Linked DNA regions of Drosophila melanogaster. The gene in region 1 interacts genetically with each later gene. Each region holds a gene or a part of one and is shown on either strand. Other genes may lie near its edges. The genes, in order: Pka-R1 and capt.

The links.
Region 2: of Pka-R1 (region 1) and capt, changing one enhances a phenotype caused by changing the other (phenotypic enhancement), as found in Drosophila melanogaster (one study listed by BioGRID).

Annotation. Positions count from the first base shown.
Region 1 is NT_037436.4:20,817,072-20,822,072, forward strand, and holds the start of Pka-R1 (protein kinase, cAMP-dependent, regulatory subunit type 1), read left to right. Parts: upstream 1-1,893; 5' UTR 1,894-1,963; coding exon 1,964-2,398; intron 2,399-3,259; exon of another isoform or gene 3,260-3,652; coding exon of another isoform or gene 3,653-3,655; intron 3,656-5,001. Other genes in the region: Mst77F (Male-specific transcript 77F), read right to left, coding at 98-463, 526-807.
Region 2 is NT_033779.5:1,151,178-1,158,253, forward strand, and holds capt (capulet), read right to left. Parts: upstream 5,135-7,076; 5' UTR 4,792-5,134; coding exon 4,569-4,791; intron 3,877-4,568; coding exon 3,375-3,876; intron 3,230-3,374; coding exon 3,105-3,229; intron 2,555-3,104; coding exon 2,209-2,554; intron 2,142-2,208; coding exon 1,594-2,141; intron 1,524-1,593; coding exon 1,000-1,523; intron 939-999; coding exon 855-938; 3' UTR 501-854; downstream 1-500. Other genes in the region: Vps29 (vacuolar protein sorting 29), read left to right, coding at 1-234.

The DNA.
Region 1 (5,001 bases):
AGTTGTTTACATCATTTGGGAAATTTTGACTGGTTCCTGATCAATAAAAATGGCCGAAAAGTGGTGTAGGAAAGGGTGTGGAAGATGAAACCTCCGATTACATCGAGCACTTGGGCTTGGAGCTCTTGGGCTTAAGACACCTTGGCTTTGCCTTCGCCTTGCCGCATTCCATCTTCTTCCTGGGGCGGGGACATGCCTTCCGGGGTCGGGCGCCCTTGGGCTTCGGTTTGCCGCAACTGCGACGTTGCTTCGAGGTTTTCGCCCGTGGTTTGGGGCAACTCTTCCGCACCCTGGGCTTGGAACACTTGTTCTCCTTTCTTGGAGTGCAGCTATTGGAGCCACCGGCACCGAAGAAAGTGTCTGCGCAGCCACTTATTTCAGAGTGCATTCTGTGCTCGCCCTCACTAGAACGCTGAAGACTGCTCACACTGTTGGGCTCTACATGAAAAGTGTCCAATGGTTCCTGCGGAAGTGCATTACGATTGCATACATGTGCATTTCGTTTGTATTCGACACCTAACTTACCGCAGAATACTGGCATCGATGACGGAATGACATTTCGTTCCATCGGGTTTCAGCAGCCCGTCTTATCTCGTTATTCGAGTAATATTCTCCGTAGCGCTTCTTAAAGTCCCTCAGAAAATTAACAAAGCCAGACGATGAGGCGTATTCGTCCTCTGCCCTATTGATATCTTCTTCAATGTCGGAGGCGTCGGAATTAACATATTCAATTGATTTTTTATAGGTTTTCACTGATTTTGTTACTGCCACCTCCGGCTTGCTATCCTTTTGTTTCAGATTACTCATTTTGCAACCAATTCTTGCTCGACAGAAATTTTCACAAACAAATTTGTTACTCAGAATTATACAAAAAAAAATTATATATGTATAAAAAACTGTACTCAATTTTATCGAAATATTTTAGTTGTTCCTCGTTCAAAGGTAGTGTACTAACTGTTTGTATGCTGGCTTCAGCGTGGAGACCTGGAAATTGGATTTGAATGAAGGCTCAATTCTACTATGATCAAGAAAAAGTTCCTTTTTTCAAACCAAGTTGGCTGTTTTCAAAGTACATTTCGCAGATCGGCGCCATATTTCCATGGTTATTTTTGTATACTATATTCGTTCAAGATATTGTAGGAGAAAATGTTTAATGTTTCTTGATCAGTATCAGTCGAGCTGGCCATATTCGTCCGTCCGTGTGTCTTGAAAAAGGTTTTAATATTCTGTTTGCAATCCGACTAGCTGAGTAACGCGTATCTGATATTCACGAAATAGAATAGCGTACTTCCTTGTTTTCAATGAAATGAAATGAACAAATATTTTACAAAAGCAATACTAAATGTTATATTATAATCTGAACAAAATATGTAAGAAATACCAGAAATGTCGTTGGTGAGGGAAGGTGTTTAAATTATCCTGTGCGACTACGTTCCTTTCCGGGGTTTCAACCACTTGGTAAGCAACAAGCGGCATTTTGCTGGTTAATGCTGCCGCTTAAACGAAAATCAATACAACTTGCGGTCTATTTTCGAGCGGATTGTTAAAAAAAAAACCCATCCATAGGTGGATTTCCCAGCACGGATGCTTTATTTTCGGCTTCCTGCTTCGGAGAACTGTATTCCCTCTGTTCATTGTGAAGCTTTAAAGTTTATTTTGTGAGACAGGCTGCAGCAAAAGCTTGCAATGCTGCAATGTAAATAGAGCAGCGCACCTGTGGAGGTCCTTTCCACATCGTCCTGTTCCCCCTCTCACTTGCCAAGCGACTTTCCTTACCCCTTTTTCTCCCAACTTTGATTTTGAGTACGCCTGTGTGTGTGCGCCGGACTCTCTGGGGCAAGTTGCCTGTTGAATGCCGGACCCGCTGTCAGTTGGATTAGCATCCTGACGCCGTGCAGAAGCATCCTGCTTCCACCTAGTTCACTCCGTTCGTTTGCTTTTTATTTGTTTGCCTCCGCGCGCCATGGGCAACCAGTTGAGTGTGAACAGCATCCAGGATGCGGTCATCGATCGCTTCCGCTCGGTGGCTTTGACCACCGATGCCAACGGCGCCATGCGCATCCGTTCGTTTTCGGAGGGCGTGGTGGCCACCACCCACCATCATCATCAGCATCAGCAGAATCAGCAGCAGAGTCCCCATTGCAGTGGACGCGGCGGACGCATCCTGCGCGAAAGTAGCATCGATGGCGGGGTGGCCATGTTCGATGCTCTGCTCCGCGATGATCACGAACATCGGCTGAGCTTGGATGCAGTGCATCGCATGCGGCATGTTCGCACCTCCTGCACCACAATTCCCGAGGAGGATGCCGTCAGCGATCGCAGCCTGCAGATTCATCTCTCCACTCTGGCCCGCGAACGTGAACAGGAACTTGAGCTTGAGCGCCAGCGGGAACGCGAAGTAAGTTGGAAAGTCGGAAAAGTTTCCAATTTCCGGAAAACAGTAGGAAATCACTAGGAATTTGTGCTGAAAAGCTTTTGGCGGAAAAAAGATTTAAAGTGTGGGAGTGTGCGCATACTAGAAAGCTTTGAATCGTTTGAAATTGGTGTCTTGTTGATTCGATTTGTGACTACAAATCACGATGTCGTTAGTTCTAACACAAATAAAAACATGCAAAAAAATGTTTACCTTATTCCGCGAGCACCTAATACCCTACTTAGAATATAAAAATTTAATAAAATATGAAAAAGTTTGCTATGTTTTACGTTAAGGCCTTTTAATTCTTTCAAAATATCTTTCGTATCTGAAGAAAAAGAACGAACAGGAAGAAAATGTTCACATTTTATTTAAACATTATAAATTTATTTTTTGCAAAAAGGTAAATGGAAAGGGGTTAATTTTTGGGATACAGTAGAATATAGTAACCTAAACTATATACTAATTTAAAGAAAGTGCATTTCATAATGCCCCACGAGCTGCTTTTTGCGACAAAATGTCGAGTTTGCACTTGAAACTCGAAGGGAATTCTAACGAAATCAAAGCGCTCCCTTCGCTTTCCCTTTAGCACTTCTGGCCCTTTTCTCCCGTAAAAGCTTTTCCCTTTGCCAGGACTTGCGTCACAAGTGCGAGTGTATGTGTGTGAGGTGGTGGGCGGGTGTGCGAAAAACTTTACTTTTTGGCCAGTCGTATTTGTATGTATATATTTGTGTATATATAGAAAGGTTGCCTTCGCTGGGCGTGTTGGTGAAGGTCATCCTGTCGTCGTCGAGATTGTGTTTGTGTCTGGCTGCTAGAGTTTGCTTTCGTCCTTTCGTTTGTCTCAGTCACTTTTTGGCCACCGTCAGTTGCCCATCGTTGTTCCCAATTTTAGTTTTTTCGCCAACTTAACTGCTCAATTTACTAGTTACCATTCACCTTTTGCGGTCGTTACTTTTCGACTTTCTTGCCTGATTGATGGCCACGCGAATTCCGCTGCTCCGATCATCGAATTGTCCGGTTTAACGGTCGTGTTAATGCCGCTTTTACGGCTGTCATCGCTCCGTCCGGCGCTGTTTACGCCGGCTTCTGATTAACAGCGGAATCGTGCCAAAAACTACGCCGGACACTTTGTCCCCAGTGTCCGCCATAAAGTACAGACAAACAACAATCAATTGTGTTGGCCAAACGAGGTTGGAAAAGTGCCAAAGCGGAAGTGACAGGAACTCGACCAGCGAAATGGTGGGTAAAATTCGAAGTGTTAAATACGGTTAACTTGGTAAATATTTCGGAAAGAATTGGTTTCAATAGCGTTTTTATAGTGAGGAAGAGAAAGGGTCCCATTGCATTAACGCTTAAGAATCCTTAATCTTTAACATTCAAGTATTCATTCTTCTTCCGTTCCTTCATATTTCTATATTATCCCATTGAAAGGTATACAATTCTCATTTTTAGATATTTATTAGAACTCAAAGTTGTTAATAGTAATATTACTTTCCGATTATCGAATTGCCATCAAGGTATAACTGGATACATTTTTCTTCCAAGCTATATAAATAGTCTCCTTGAGGAAAAACAAATTGACAACATTTTTTTTTAATGAAAATCAACAATTTTAAATGAAATCAACACTCGTATTCTATCCAATCTGTTTGTTTCCTTCCAGAACGCAAAGCATTTAACATACAATTCCAATGAAAAATTTCCCCGAAATATGGCCTCGAATTATGCTCTGTTTACTTGATTAAATTGTTATTTTACTACCTTTTATTTCCTTTTTATGCACTCGCATCGCATTAAAACGATTTCTGTGATATTTTTAAGTGGGTCCGATGAAAGCAATTTATGAGCTCAAAGAAGCTGGGGTCGGAAAAATCGAATTTTTGAAATTTGAAAGCTGGAATCGTTTGCCCATTTTTTGCCCATGTTTGCCCACCAATTAGTTTTTTTTGCCCACGTCCAGTTTTTGAGATATGAATTTTCGAAAAAGTTCGAAAATTTTCGAAAATCAAAAATTTCGCTTTTTTCAAAATTTTTTTTTTTAAATCGCAATAACATCGTTTGCCCACGTTTGCCCACCCTTTAGAATTTTGAAAAAATTTATACTTTAGAAAATATAAGGCTTTTAAGTTTACCTCGGTCTAATCAGAGAGTAAATCGTTTGCCCATCTCTTAAAACCAAATATTATCAACAAAAAAGGTTTGCCCAACCATTATTATTAGTTTTTATCGTTTGCCCACCCTTTAAAAAACCTTTAACAAAAATTTTTTTTCGATTGCCCACATTTAAAATACACCCAATTTCGTTAGCCCACCTCTTTAAAATAAAAATTTCCAATAAAAAACGTTTGCCCACCATTTAAAAATAAATAATTTCGATTGCCCTGCGCTCTTTAAAACTAAATAATTTCGTTTGCCCATCCTTTAAAATTCATTTTTAACGTTTGCCCACCCTTTAAAAATAAATTATTTCGTTTGCCCACCCTTTAAAATTTGTTTTTTTCGTTTGCCCACTCTTAAAACTAAATAATTTCGATTGCCCACCTTTTAAAACTAAATAATTTCGTTTGCCCATCCTTTAAAATTCA
Region 2 (7,076 bases), on another chromosome or scaffold:
CTGGACGTGGACATCCTGATCACGGGGCACACGTACAAGTTCGAGGCCTACGAGCACGGCAACAAATTCTACATCAATCCGGGATCGGCCACGGGTGCCTTCAACCCACTGGACACCAATGTGGTGCCTTCGTTCGTGCTGATGGACATTCAGAGCACCACGGTGGTCACGTACGTGTACCAACTGATCGGCGACGAGGTCAAAGTGGAGCGCATCGAGTACAAGAAGATCTAGGGTCCTAGTATTAGCCACCAGCCATTCCCCTCCAATCCAACCCTTGACCCCTGCATTCTGAGCTCGGCTTCATTAAAGAAATTGTAAATGTACGTAGCAATAAATCAAGTTCTCATTTTTTTATCTGATAAAAAATGCTAGCACCTTGTTTAAATAGAGAATAAAAGTACGAACGGACGAAAGTGAAGTTTTAGATTTAATGCAATAATAAACGATTACAAAGTAAGGAAAAACACCCCCAGAAATTGTGATACTCCCACAATAATCTGATAAAAAAGTTTAAATTTTATTAAATAGAATATAAAAAGGAGTTACATCTGATGATCGAGTAAAGAGTCTGCTCAAAAGTTCGGATTTCATGCTCAGTTTCTCATTGCAACACACTCTCGATATAAATACATTGGGTTCGGTTTGTGGCCATCGCTTTTCCATCGAAATAAATTATATAAATACTTTCCACGAGCCAGGACAGCAATGTTTGGCAACATCATCAATACGAAATGTTTGATCTAAAAATCTTTGAATTACGAAAACTTTGCACTTAGATTAAATACAATTATGATTGCTGCTGACGACAGTTGGAAAAGCAACGAACAGGATCCCCGAGGAGGAGAACCGCCTTAGCCGAGGCTGTCCACGCACACAGTCTTCAGGGTCTTGCCGGCAATCGTGGTCTTATACTGCTCCGGTAAAGCCAACTCGGTCTGGAAATCACAAAAAAAATAAATAAATGACTGAAGACAAGAGACAAATTTTTGAACTCACATAATCGCCGCTGTCGTCGGGCAACAGGATGTTCATCTCCGAGGACTTGGAGTTGACGATCTCCACGCCCAGCGAGTCCTTGGACAGATACATCTGGCAGCCGTCGGTCTTGTCGATCGATACCGTCGGCACCGAGCCGAGCACCTGCATCTGCACGCTCTGGCAGTTGACGAACTCCACGGAGGCCACCACGGAATCGAACAGCAGGGAGCACTTCTTGCAGGAGTCGAAGACGATGTTGTTCACCTTGCCCTTGACGGTCAGAGTGGATCCCTCACACTTGAACACATACACCACGTTGTTCATCTCGGCGTTCTCCACCAACAGCCCGGTGTTGTTCTTCTGGTACTCGATGATCCACTTCTTTCCGTCGCGCTCGAAAACGGGCGCCTTGGCTTGCGCAGCTGATGGAGCAGCAACGGCCTTGCTGCCGCCCGACTGGGCTGGCGATTTGAACGGAGCCGGTCCAGTGCGTAGAGATGGATTTTTATGGGTCTGCATGTCGCCAGTGACCTTCTTCAAGCCTGCGGGTTTATCAAAAGATACATTTTCTTACTATAGGAGCACTTAACCATTTTTGCAGTTGCTGCTCACCCTTGGTGATGTCGGCACCCTGGTTGATCTGGGCGAAGAGGGCGCTGCGATCATCTCCGGCGCTATCCAGCTTGAGGGCACTCAGATCCAGCATGGGCGGCGGTGGGGGCAGACCACCGGGTGGCGGTGGTGGCGGGGCACCTCCGGCGGGGGCCGCTCCCTTGCCGGACCACACCAAGCCCGTGGTGTGGTACTGCCGGATGTAGGCCTGCAGTTCGGTGAGCGTCTGCACCCAGGCGCGGGCCCACTCCACATGCGTAACATCCTTCTCCTTCCACTCCTTGAGCACGCGGTTCGTGTAGAACTGGCCGGCGTCGTTCATCTCCTTGACATAGGGACCCGGGGTCTTCTCCACGCACACCCAGCCCAAGGCGGGAATGCTTTCGCTGATGGCCGACAGGTGGTTGAAGAAGGGCGAGGAGCGGTGCTTCTCGCGGAAGTCCTGGATGGCGCTGATCTGCGTCGAGGTCGGCTTCAGAAGCTCCGCCTGCTTGGGCTGCGCCGGCTGGGCGATCTGGGTGGCCAGCGTCACGTACTGCAGTTGGGAGCTGTTGCGGAATTGAACGATGGCATTATTACACTTTTACCATAGATGACTCATCCAGACTGACTCACCCAAAGGCGCTCTTCACGAGCTCCGCATGCTGCGCCACATCGCCGCCAATTTTGGCGGAGAGAGTTAGGTATTGGCTCAGCGGACCCGCCACAATGTCCTCGAATCCGGCGACACTCATGTTGCTGCTGGGCGGCGAGGGAGGTGGAGGTGGTGTCTCTGCTTTTTCAAAAACTGGAAGAGCTTCTTCTTCTTCGGCTGGCGGAGGCGGGAGTGTGGGCGTGGGCAGTTCTATCGGCTGTGGCGCTGTTAGAGTCCGTTCCAATCGGTCGACGAGGGTCTCCAGTCGCTCGCAAATGCTCTCCAAGTGGTCGACGGCGGCCGAGGGCTTGGCTTCCGGCTCGTTATCTGAACCAAAATGACGCGGAGGAGAACGGCAAATGTTTAGTTCGTTTTGGCAATTATCTCGAATTATTCAAATAACACTGAGTTTTATAAAGAAAATAACTTGAGTGAGATGATGCTTCAGCGTGATAAACCCCAGTGAATCGTGCACTCACAATACCTGACAAAAAAGGCGATATAAACTAAGGCGTCTCGAGAGGAATACCTCATCACGAGCTTGTGTATGATGATGAACTGGTGCGCTTAATACTTATAAAGTTCAATATGCAAAAAGAGCTAATCCCAACGAGTGAAAGTAATAATCCACATGCAAAAACGGCACAAGACAACGAAAAATCATAAGAGAGAAGAACTAAGTTGAACCTTTAAACGGAAGCACTTGACTTGCGAACTTATTGGCCATCAGGAAGTTACGTGAATCGCTAGACTCTCAAAACTTCTTCACAGCGAAAACGAACACATAAAGAACACAGAAAGTCAAGCATCCGCTTAAATAACTGCTGAGATCGAAAAAAAAAAGCAAAAGAATCGGACTCTATCGAAGCTCGCATACCCCGCACGGCCACGCTATGCTCCACAGCCGCATGGGCGGCCCGCAGGAGCTCCGTGTAGAGACGCTGGCGCTTCAGCTCCAGCTCGTCGCGTCCCACCGGCGTGACCGGGGGCTCGATGCAGCCGCTGGACATGGAACGAGGACAGAGGAGACGATGTACTGGCAATTCAAAGCGGGGCTGGGAATGCAGGGGTCGACCTGTTCTGGTTTCAGCTTAACTATATGGATATTTTGGGCGTGAAACCAAAACAGGATCTTGGGTAAGCATACATGTCGTTCAGGCGCTCGTCGTCGAACCACGAGGGTAATCCGTGGGCAAAGAAGAGTGTTTCCGAGACGACATCCCCCTCGATGTAGGGTGCACACATGCTCTCCCGCTTGGGTGGCGGCAGTGAGTCGGAGAACACCTCGTCGTCGTCCAGCAAGGAGCCCTGATTCTGGCTGGCCAGCAGGAGCAGTGGCAGTGGATCCGGCTCGATGATCTCCGCCCGGTTGCTGATATTCACCTTCTTCTTGATCGACTGATGCGTTGAGTTGTGCCTGGACAGGCAGCTCTTGGTGGGCGGCGGCTGAGGAGGCGGTGTGGTCGGCGTGACCGTCGCCACCACCACCACTTCGTCCGCCTCCTCCGCGTCGCCGCTGGTCATCGAAGCAGGTGGTGCCGTGGATGTGGAAGAGTGCGTTGAGCGGGCCAGTGGCTCCGGTTCTTTGGGTGCTAGTGCTGGATTTGCTGGTGATGATTTGCTAGCCGCTTCAGCCTGAGTTGGTTGGGCTGTGGAAGTGTTGCTTAAGATTACTCTACATGAAGCGACGAATTACCAAGACGATCATCAAGGAAAGCGCCGATACTTAAGTTGATTACTTCACTTCACTCTCTGCTCACCTCGCTTCCTGTCTTCATTATGTTTATTTATCGCATTTAAAAGCATTTACCATGGTCACTGGCAGATTGAGTAGTTAGTTTTTACTGCTCACCTTATTATTATAGAATCTATAGAATCTTGAATTTTCTGTCTAAATTATTGACCTTCATTTTAGTTTCTATATTCGTCACTACTATATACTATACGTTCACTTTGATGGATGAGCACGATCTAAGTGCTCAACAAAAAGTGTGTATGCAATGTCATTAGCTATTCCTCATTAATCAACTGAGAATCGGCGCAATTCCTTGATATTCATATGTATAAAATTCACAGAAATAAACCGAAGAGAAAGCACAGTGAAGACAACTCATAAGTAAATAGAAAAGGACACTCAAGGCAGCTTGAAGTGCCCGGATTGAAATGAAAGGAAAGATCAGAAGTGGTGGTCAGCTGCAGTGGCATTGCAGTGAGTGAGAGCCGGCCGGATAGGGGCCTTCGTTCCGGAGAGCAGACAAAAGCCGAGACAGCTGTTGAGCTCGAAGGCCGGAGAACGCGAATAGATGGGGTGGTGGGTAAATACTTAGCGTTGCGTCAGTACCAGTGTTTGGCTGGGTGCTTGTGGGCACATCCTCGGGATTATGCGCTTCCAAGAGCTCCTTTTCTGGTTTCACAGGCTCTGGCTCCTCCTTCGGAGTTCCTGGCTTGCCGTTCAGCTGGGGTTCCTCCTTTTCGGTGACCTGTCCGCCGTTCTCCTCCTCTGCGTTCCGCTTTTCCTTCTCCTTCTTGCCCGCCTTGGGGTTCGATCGGCAGCAGGAGAACATTTTGCAGGCGTGTGGCTGGGCTTTTCCGGTGCTCAACACTCTAGGTACGAATCAAGCACATTATGTAAGTTCCGTGGCTCGACTGCGGATGCCCGTGAAGCTCAAGCGGCGGTCACAACACTGACGGCACACCAAACCAAATCGAATCAGTAGAAGCAGTAACAGCAGCAGCCATATAAGACACTCAACGGGTTTCCAACGAACGTGGCCACTCCTTGCTCACTGTGTACATATATTCAGTGTATGGCCCAAATTTAGTGGCACATTAATAAGGTCCTCCGAGTTGTCCGCGCCTTCAACTGGGTCAAGTGACTGCCGACCAAGCACAGAACCAAATGGCACACAAATGCGATTACACACGGAGAACAGAACACACCCTAAACGAAGCGCACGCCCACGCACTCGGGGATTCGATTCGATTTCGAACTCGAACTCGAAGGTCTCAACAGGACTCTGTTAGGAGAGCTCCGCGCTGTTAACTGCTGAGTTTCGCCGCCTTGTTGGGCTACTCCGCGCTGCTTTTGACCATTTGGGGCCAGCCACCGACTGGCAATGAAATGTGTTTCATTAATAACCGCTTTTGGCCTGACATGCAGGATTTTGTGCAAGCTCCGGCGATGTCTTGCACTTTTGCAGCAGAGAAAGCTTACGGTCCAGGCGGAAAATGGAAAACTCTCCGAGAGAGTTGCGCAGACACCACTGTGATTTCGTGATACCCTTCTCGCCACGGGTGGCGCGACTTAAGTGAGGGAAAACCACGGCGATCCCATAGTTTTATCAGCCCTGTAAGGCAGGGTTCGCCTATCAATTAGTTGTGACAACACCGAGTTATCTTTACTATTTGGAAAGTTTCCAGGAATGATCGGTAATGAAACTATGATTCCATTTTGAGCATTACCATAACGTTTGTAAGCCATAGAGAGTAGAGAGATGCAATGATCATATCTTAGCCGGCTATAAAAACAGTTTTAAAATGTTCAGCTTTTTGTGAAGTAATCTGCCGCAGAAGAGTATAAAAACGTCGACGTAACTGAAACTCCCATATCGTTTGCTTGCCAGTTTTTGTTTTGGCCTTAGTGCAATGGGTTTATTGCACCGGCAACGTTGTTTTTGTTTTTAAGTAGCTTTAAACAAATGGCTGGCAATTAGAGTGGGAAATGCATCAGTAGCCGTTGGATTGGAGGGAGGGGCTAAGCCGCCGAGGACAAGTAAGCCGAGATTCAACTTTCGCCTGGCGATACTAGTTCTCCTTGCAGTCTTGATGCGTTTTCTGCGGCAGATGCGTTTGTTGCGTGCAGAAAGCAAAGAAGAAATGGGGAAGAAAAACTAGAAACCAAGATTAAATGTCTGCAGCTGAGGAACCGTTATTCCCGCTGCGAGAGTGTGAGTGAGCTCGAATTACCAGGGGTGGGGGGTGTTCGTAATGGTAGAAGAAAAATCGCCCACCTTATAAGGCGAGGTGTTATTTTCTTCCACCGAAATCGAGTGAGTGGTAATATCTGCCGATTTTCAATCGCGATTCGCTGATAAAAGCGTTTTGGCCAACTTTTTGACTCATTCGCGCACGAATACAAGCAAACGTGTTTGCTCTTGCGTAAACTACATACATGCATACATACATATGCATATCAACTATGTGTCTGTGAGTCAGCGAAACAAAAACAAAAAATGGCCACAACAGCTGAGTAGTTACTTTTTTTTATCGGGGGTTAACAATCGCAATGGGAGCTGCTAAGGGTTAATTTGCATACACTTGCTGGCAATGAATTAGTTGTGTCTTTATGCCATGGAATCGGATATGAAATCATCGTTAAAAATACACCATGTAGATTTAATTTTACAAGCAACATGAATCACACAAAAATAGCCATCACACAGCTGTCTCTTGTCTTTTTGGCTCTCTTCGCTGTTGTTGTTGTTGTGTGTGTACAAACACCCACAGCCTGCATCACACACACACGCTCAAATTCGTGACAGCACCACCCACCCCTCACCAATAACCGTTAATTCCGCAGACACTTTCAGCCGGCGAACGGGAGAAGAGAATTTGCGAATAATAGCAAAGCCCCGTTTAAATGAACGTTTTTAGCAACAATCAGGCGTTACTCACCTTCTTTTGCTGCTGATGAATTTGCAAGGATCTGCAGTTGTATTCCAATTAGAACTGACGAGAAGCTGCGTAGCGAACACCGGCGAAATGGCGAAAATAATAACTTGGCGTGGCCTTTGGTGGGACCAGGCGTACATTCGTGGAAATAGTCAAGCGAGTTAACCCTTATGTGGGT